Linked DNA regions of Lepisosteus oculatus. The protein of the gene in region 2 binds, or shares a complex with, the protein of the main gene of each other region. Links are inferred from orthologs where the notes say so. Each region holds a gene or a part of one and is shown on either strand. Other genes may lie near its edges. The genes, in order: insrb and grb14.

Evidence for each region.
Region 1: the proteins of grb14 (region 2) and insrb are in contact, whole or in part, in a crystal structure (PDB 2AUH), measured with the Homo sapiens proteins. The link is inferred for Lepisosteus oculatus from reciprocal best matches to the Homo sapiens genes GRB14 and INSR. Residues at the interface, in NP_004481.2 of Homo sapiens: Glu373, Asn374, Ser375, Leu376, Val377, Ala378, Met379, Asp380, Phe381, Ser382, Ser386, Val388, Ile389, Glu394, Val398, Ala399, Glu401, Glu402, Gly403, Leu404, Trp406, Arg407; in NP_000199.2 of Homo sapiens: Leu1065, Arg1066, Ile1069, Glu1070, Lys1112, Arg1116, Arg1163, Met1180, Arg1182, Tyr1190, Lys1192, Gly1193, Gly1194, Lys1195, Gly1196, Leu1197, Leu1198, Pro1199, Val1200, Trp1202, Ser1207, Leu1208, Lys1209, Asp1210, Gly1211, Gln1235, Asn1242, Glu1243, Leu1246.

What each region holds. Positions count from the first base shown.
Region 1 is NC_090724.1:6,046,365-6,050,288, reverse strand, and holds the start of insrb (insulin receptor b), read right to left. Parts: upstream 2,829-3,924; 5' UTR 1,524-2,828; coding exon 1,445-1,523; intron 1-1,444. UniProt on the Homo sapiens protein: Receptor tyrosine kinase which mediates the pleiotropic actions of insulin.
Region 2 is NC_090707.1:14,976,223-14,980,146, forward strand, and holds the start of grb14 (growth factor receptor-bound protein 14), read right to left. Parts: upstream 2,255-3,924; 5' UTR 1,905-2,254; coding exon 1,717-1,904; intron 1-1,716. UniProt on the Homo sapiens protein: Adapter protein which modulates coupling of cell surface receptor kinases with specific signaling pathways. Binds to, and suppresses signals from, the activated insulin receptor (INSR). Potent inhibitor of insulin-stimulated MAPK3 phosphorylation.

The DNA.
Region 1 (3,924 bases), on a different chromosome or scaffold from region 2:
CACCTGTTAATTTTTTCTCCCCTCAATACTTGTTGAATCATTTAATGAAACGTTTTAAAAAGACTTTTGCATTCACCTGAAGTTGCACAAAAGCTGACTTTTACTCTCTATGGTTTTAAAATAAATCCAGCTTCAATAAAAACGTTGGGGGAAATTCATTTGCTGTGATTTTTTTGTATACATTTTCATCCGTTCACATCTAGATAGGATGGGTACTTCACACGACGGAAAAGTCAGCATTAGTCTTCCACTGTTTTTGGGTTGTGACCGACAGAACAGTATAGGTTATGAAATCGGTGTGTACAAGATTTTGTTTTTCTGTTTGAACAGCGGAACATAATGTCGTGATGTTCTAGGCTACCAAAATCTTTAAGTATCCTATTTGTGCGTGCATGCATTTATCAAGATATTTATCTAGAATCGCTTACTGCATACATCGACCTCTTGCTTTGCATATCAAATAAGTCGGAAAAGCAGATGAAAATTTAGTGTAGAAACTGTCATGACCCACACCAACTGCCCAGAGATACACTAAGCCCCCGCACAGAGTACTTTGTGTCAAAGTGCAGTGTATCAGCAGGGTGTCGGGAGTGGATGAAATGCATAAACAAAATGAACGCGGTTCTTCAAAACTTAGTGTGTGCGTGTGAGCTAATTATTTTATGACGGTAATCTTCGGTCAAATCTGTGCCTTATATAGACTTATATGGCTTATACCCTGACCAACAGGGGAAAAGGGTTAAGATTACCAACTGAAAATGGTGGTCTCTTTTACATTTTCTGCGCAGTTTTCTATATAATATACATTAAAATGCCATAATAAAAACACGACAAACTATTTGCTTTCCTACAATGCTCAGAAAAAAAAATAAGCACGCACCACATCTTGTGTATGCCCGGGTCACATGTAATCCTACAAAACACTGGACTTCTGAATCTCATTTGTTGCATTATTAGTTCAACGTGAACACAGGCCTAGGCGGACAGACGAGTCCCGGACCTTTAAGTTTAGAATCGCTGTCTATATCCCACCCTCTTCCCGCGACAAAGGCTAATCTAGCCTTCGGGCTCATGTATGCGCAAGCAGGCCTCAAAATATAATCGTATAATAATAATTCTCTAAAAAAAATATTTAAAAACTAAAAATGTTACAAAAAAAAACACTTAAAATTTGACTTATTCCGCCGTAAGAAAATGGTATTGGGAAATGTTCTCCCACCAAAAACCGCGTTTTAAAACGTTACGTAAATACTCAAATTAGGTGTAAACAATATATACATTTTGCATTTCTTACAATCTGAGCAGTTCCACAAAACACGAGGCCTATAAAAAACCCTCTAACGATTTAACTGATTTATGATATAAATAGCACATTTGTACACTGTCGCAGCGAAAGAGTTCCAACGCCATCCTTAAATGGAAAATAAAGCTTTGATTTACTTACTTTCTCCATCCGATATCCCGCAATTGCTTAAAACGCAGATAAAAGTAACGAAAGCAACCACCGGGGTGTCCAACCGCATTCTGACCCCAGTGATGTCCTTAAATCCACCAAAAAATGCCAGATTAAAAGGGGAAAAAATCCAAAAATTGAGTAAAACTTTTTCCTTTAATCGTTTATAAAATCAGAGATTCTTGCTTGAAAGCCGTTTTCATACACAACAAAAACAAAAAAACAAAAAAACAAAACCACACCACCCCCAAAAAGGGGGGTGAGGGAATATTTAAACGCGTTTTAATACTCAAAATATGTATTAACTTTTTTTGTTGTTTTACTACTTCGCCAGGTTAGATTTGCATCAAATAATGTGGTCTTGGGTTCTGACAGCACTTTGGCGAACCCAGAGCTTCATTTTAAATCAAGTGATACAAGTCGTCCACTTTCATCGGGTAAAGTTTGTTTGACAAAATCCTCCTTCAGTCGAGAAAATAATTCCCACCAGCAAACCGCTTTAATAAGGAGGTACCCTAAGGGGTAGCGAGTCGCTCATACCCACATAAAAGCTGGGGTTTCCTTCAAAAGGTTAAAAAAAGAAAATTCCTGGATTAGCTGTTGCTTTTCTGCAAGATGCAACTGTTTATTTTGACTTGCAAATACAAAGATCTTCTTTTATTTTTCTGTCCTTTTATAAAGCGTGGTATTCTCCTCCTCTCGCACTGTTGACATGAAAATTAAAAAAAAACGTTTAGTTTTTAATCCCCGGTTTCACTGTGTTTTATACACGATTATTTCCTCCCGAACCTCCCTCTCCTTCCCTGCCCTTTCCGTATCACAGGAAAATAGTGTTACAACGTCCAATAGAAAAATAAACATCACAGGAACTCCGCAGGAAATAATCCGAAAAAAATTGCTTTTCCCTTTCGGTAAAAACGTCCTTCCTCGCTCAGCTTCCTTTTCAACTCTTTGGCGAGTTTCCCAAAGAGTCTTAAAAAAAAACACGTCCCAAACAATGGAAATGTATGATAGTTACTTAACAGTACAAATAAAAAAAAAAAACACAACGCACGGTGCTTCTGGAGTGTGCAAAACTCCCCGCACTGGTTTTTTTCTCTTCTTCTGCTTCTGCTTCTTCGTCTTCGTCTTTTTGGGCTAATCTGAGCCCGGACAGGTTATTTTACCTTTCGTGGTTTTTTTTTTTGGAAAGCAGGCTGTAGAAAAGATTTTCGGACGACGGCGAAAAGCGCGACAGCAAGGTAAACACGCGTCGACAGCAAGCGAATCTGCGGAAAAAAAAGCTAAAAAACTTCTCTTTTCCCCCCCGAATCTGCAGTACCGCTCGTCCTCTCTCTCTCTCCGCTAAAGTTCCCCCTTTTTCAGTCTCTCAGTATCTCCCTGCCAGTAAACAAGAGCTGCCAGTCAGCTGGCGCAAGGCACGGCGCAAACTACGGACTGGATTTGACAGCCTAAAAAAAAAATACGACCTGGAGTCAGCAGAAACGAGTGGGAGTTGGGGGGGGGGGGGGGGTGAGGGGGTGTATGTTTAGTATGTTCAGGGGGGTGGAACCGCCGGGGAATGACATCAGTGCATCAGTGCAACCTGAACGCATGCTGTTTCATTAGCATAACCCCCCGGTAATTGCTCGACTTTCGTGGTGTGTTGAACGGCTGCCCCACTTGAAAAACAAAACGGAAACGGACCCGTCTCATCTTTGGGCAGGATATTGGGTTCCAAACATCCTATACTCATTCTAGCGCCCAGTTTGCATAGATTTAGCAAAGGTAATTGGCCATACGCTAGATAGTTAGTTGTTGTTTCTTATTTCTGTGGCTGAAAGTAATATATATGTGTGTGTGTGTTGATTCTCTGCTTTAACACCTATAAAAGAACAAGCAATAGATCTATTCCATGCTGAAAAGGGAAGAGAGAAAACACAACGTTTCGGCTGTGAAGGCTTTGTAGGCGAAACGTTGTGTGCTCTCTCTTCTCTTTTCAGCATGGAATAAACCTATTACTGATTCCTTTGCAGACCACGCAAGCTGACGCAGCTCCCCACCTGAACTACTTCCAAACCTATATTTCGGTTGTCAGTCCCATAGTGCCAACACTAGTCTATGTGCTGCAACAGGAGTAAGGCAGCTCTGTTCTCGGGACTGAACTCCATATTGCTGGGCACACTCGGGTCAGCAGGAGAGGGGCTCAGACCTGCAGATGAAAACACACACAAAGTGAACACTAAATGAGATAGGCGAGGCACTGTTTTTTAGTGCTGTGAAAATCCAGCAAATGATCGTGTGAGAAAGGGTCTGTGATGCGATCTTTGTTTTAACGCTAATTAAGAAGTGCCCGATCACTGTCACAGATAGCGTGGTAGAAAAGGGGTGTGCTGGGATTATCAGATTGTTGTTGCCAGGGGTGTGATCTTCTGCCAGTGGTACAGAAATGCTTGTGAAGATGGTTCTACCTGTCACGCACTTCCTTGTTT
Region 2 (3,924 bases):
GACACACTGTACTGTATATACAGTAATGTAATAATGTTAACAAAGTACTTTTAAATCATTCATGTTTCTGACCTGATAAATAAACCCTTAGTTTCATATTGGTCCCATTAGAGAAAGGTGATAGTGCCTTCTCCTGCTAAACACCTAGTCTGTGGAATACTCTTTTCTGTGAAATCAGGAATTCTGAATCTGTCTTAAGATTTTCTTGTTCAAAGTGGCATTCTTAAAGAATTTATGATGCATAGGTTCCATTGTACTGTATAATTATCTTTTCTGATTCCTTTTGTTTATACAGTAGTTGGATTTTTTTTCTGATGTACATTATCTTGTACACATATGTTCTGAGGCTTTTTTGCCTCATAAATTGAAATATAAAGAAAATAAAACAGAACTAATAAAAACAACAATAATTACTGTACCTTGCAACACCATCAACCTTTCCTGAAAATATTGACTGTAAAATCAAATGTAAGGACGTAAAGTAGATTTCAAGAACCTTTCCTTTGGAAATTGACTCATAAATCATTTTACTAGATAAAGTTGATTGAATAAAACACACTATACTTTTTACAAAACGTCTCCTAAATCAAATAGCTTTTGAAAAGCAATCTTTGTGGTATCTTTCTTTAGTTTTCAAATAAAACATGAATACAAAAATACCAAACAGACAAAGCTAGAAATAATTCAAGCTACCTATATAAATGGTATACGCCTGTTGGGTTGTTGATACTGCTTAATGTATACAAAGATTTGCACAATTCTATATGATGGGATATTTAGTGTCATCCATGTTATCTGCAAGTACTCTGACTAAGAACAGCGGATCTGAAAGAATAAAGGGTTAATTTCTGCTGCCACATCAGTATGTTAACAGACCTTCCAGTCTTCTACCCAGAGTAATTAATGATGCAAAATCAGACATGAACAAATAATATGATCATATAATAAGGCTTTTATTTCAAAATGATAATAAAACTTGATAAGATTCTGTTTAGCTAATCAGTCCTGTATTAGTTTCATTTTAGAGAGGATTGTAGTTTTAAACACCACCTTATTTACAGTTAGTAACAAGAACACAGCTGTGTCCATGAGAATGAAGTTGAGATTGACAGAGCACAACTGCATTACTGACAGAATACAGTAAGAATGTTTTTAATAGCATTGTATGTGGGAAAGTTACACCTGCCCTAATAAAAGCTACTTGATATTTTTGGCAAGAAAATAAATGCATAAAAGCTGAACATAACTTGTATATTTTAAAGTTGATCAATATTTTAAGCATGCCAAAAGTAGTGCCACAATGAGATAACTTCACTGCTCCGTAAATACAAATGTTACTAAGTAACTAATTATATTCAGGAAAGTAACAGGTGGTAGAATTCAATAAGATTCTTTGTTTGTGCTGTCAAAATGTACGAAATGGACTTACTAACCTCTTTATTCTTTAATCTACATTATTTGCCACTTGTATTTACAAGTACAAATTCTATTGCCTATTCTACTGAGAACACAATAAAGTTAGTATCCTGCTATTAGAGTGCACATTAAAAGCACTCACTGATCACAGAAGTTAAAAATTAGCTTGCCTTTTAAAAGGTTGCATGCTGAAAACTGTAAAAAATGTATCTTATTCTGCAAGAGCACAATTCAAAACCAATGCAAGCGATACAGAAAAAAAAAATCTATGATTATACATTTATATTAAACCAGTCATACCTAATCCCCTTGAAAAGAGCTGCCTTATTTTGTAGAGCATTTGATGGTGGTAAGGGTGCACGCAGAGGTATCAACGATGGGCTGGAAAAACGACTTGCATTACTCCTGTCATGTTGAAAAATAGCTGTTTTTTCTCCCAGGTTTCCAGAAGTTTGTAAGTCTTCTACTGTATTACTCATATCACTCATGGAGATGGCTATATCCAAGGCATCGTTTAAACGAGAAAGAGCAGAATTCCTATTGACGCAAAGTATCTACAGAGCACTCTGTTAACACATTGGGCTCCTCTGCCCTCTGCACGCAGCTTAACCTCAGCGCTTCATATGCTGCTAGCCTGCAACAGCACGATAAATGATCCCTCCTACCAAAACATGATCCACCACAATAAAGTTATTTTTAAAGTGATGACTCCTAAGTCGGTCTTCGTTGCATTTACACAGTAGCACATTAAATTCCAAAAATTTGTTTTGTCATTGCAGTCTTGGCTGACTTCTTTTTTTTTTTCTTCAAACACTACCTGAAGTAAATGCTGCACAAAGCAACTTATACAAAAGGTTCTTCATTGCCGGTATGCAACTTAGTCTTGTAATGAGATCTGGCACACTTCCAGACTGTAAACCAACTGTTTCTTTGTCATGGACTTTGCACTGAGTTCCTAATTGTACTTTAAACTCAGCACTATTCGGAAACTATATTCAAGCACAGAGTTTAAAATCCAGCTATTTTTCATACGTGTGCATATATATAGTATTTGAAAATGTGATTTTACATTAAAGTAAGCATTCTAATGAAGTCAGCTTTTTTTCAAGTAGGGCTGAACTGAACCAGTTTTTGACTATTAAGTCAAAGACTGTCATAAATTACATACAGATGAGATTTTCAATTTCTGGTTTTAAAACATTTATCTGTTCTGCAGAAATTTCAATAAGCCTTGAAGTTCTTCTGGCAACAGTGCAATAATGGAAAACGCTGTCTTCATTGTTAGTGATTAAACACAAATCATAATTTAGGTATAATTGACTAAATAACTCTGAAGATAATGTAATTCTTCCAAAGCTATTTTATATCAATCTCCATGTAAACATGGATTTTTTACATACAAATGTACAGTAAATATGCAGAGATATGCATGGACAATAGCAATACATAACACAGGTCAGTGAGATCACTGGAATCCTTCAGGCATTGTGTAGTGTGCTCCTGGTGAGCAATATTGCTAGCACACTTGCCACTATAGTGTCATCTGTGTACTGTCATTGACCATAGGAAAGCTCTCCCCATTTGGTGTATTTGAAATTACACTGCTCCTTGAAGCAGTTTTCACTACAGTTGTTTAAAGAGTCCAGTAAGGTTATAATCCACCTTATTTTACAACATGGTTTGACCACTCTTTTTTAAAGAATATGAAATATACACACTATATTCCAGTTTATTACAAGAGTATATTATAGATTTCTTAATCACATAAAAAATGAACTAATTTGACTTTAATCTTCCTGTTCAGAAAAGCTGTTGTGGTTTTAATATAACCAAAATGTTCTTCTTAATTTAATCCACACTTTACTTTAATCAAATGTATACATACATCTGTAAGAGTGTTGCACTTTGGTGATGTCAGAAGACAAGTGTCTTTCTGGAATTCCTAAGTTATGAATATTCATTTATCTCTTATTGATACAGGTATACCAAGGTTACAAAAAAAGTGTTTTAAATAAAAAAACCATCCCCTCTTGTCATTCAACTTGATCACTTCAAAATGTGTCTTTTCTACACATTGCTCTAATTTCTCAGGACAAAATCAGATTAGAACATAAGAAGAGTTAAAACAATGAAAGGCCATTTGATCCAAGTACCTCATCCAACCATTTCTTGAGAGAAGCCTGGGTATTGGTTTCAACAATACAGCTGGGTAAAGTATTCCATAATCTCTCAGCCCTCCGAATAAAGAAGAGCCTCCTGTTCTCAGGTTTAAATTCACTTCCACATAGTTTCCACTTGTGTCTCATGATTCATGCTCCACTGTTCATGCTGAGGAAGGCTGCAGGACTCACTTAATCAATGCCCCTGGGGATTTTGAAATGCCATTGAGATTCAAGAAGAAATGATTTAGTACCTATTGGCAATATCTTTTCTAGAACATGGTGACCGAAATTGTACACAATGTTCTTAACAAAACCTTACAAGTGTTTTATACAATTTTAACATCCA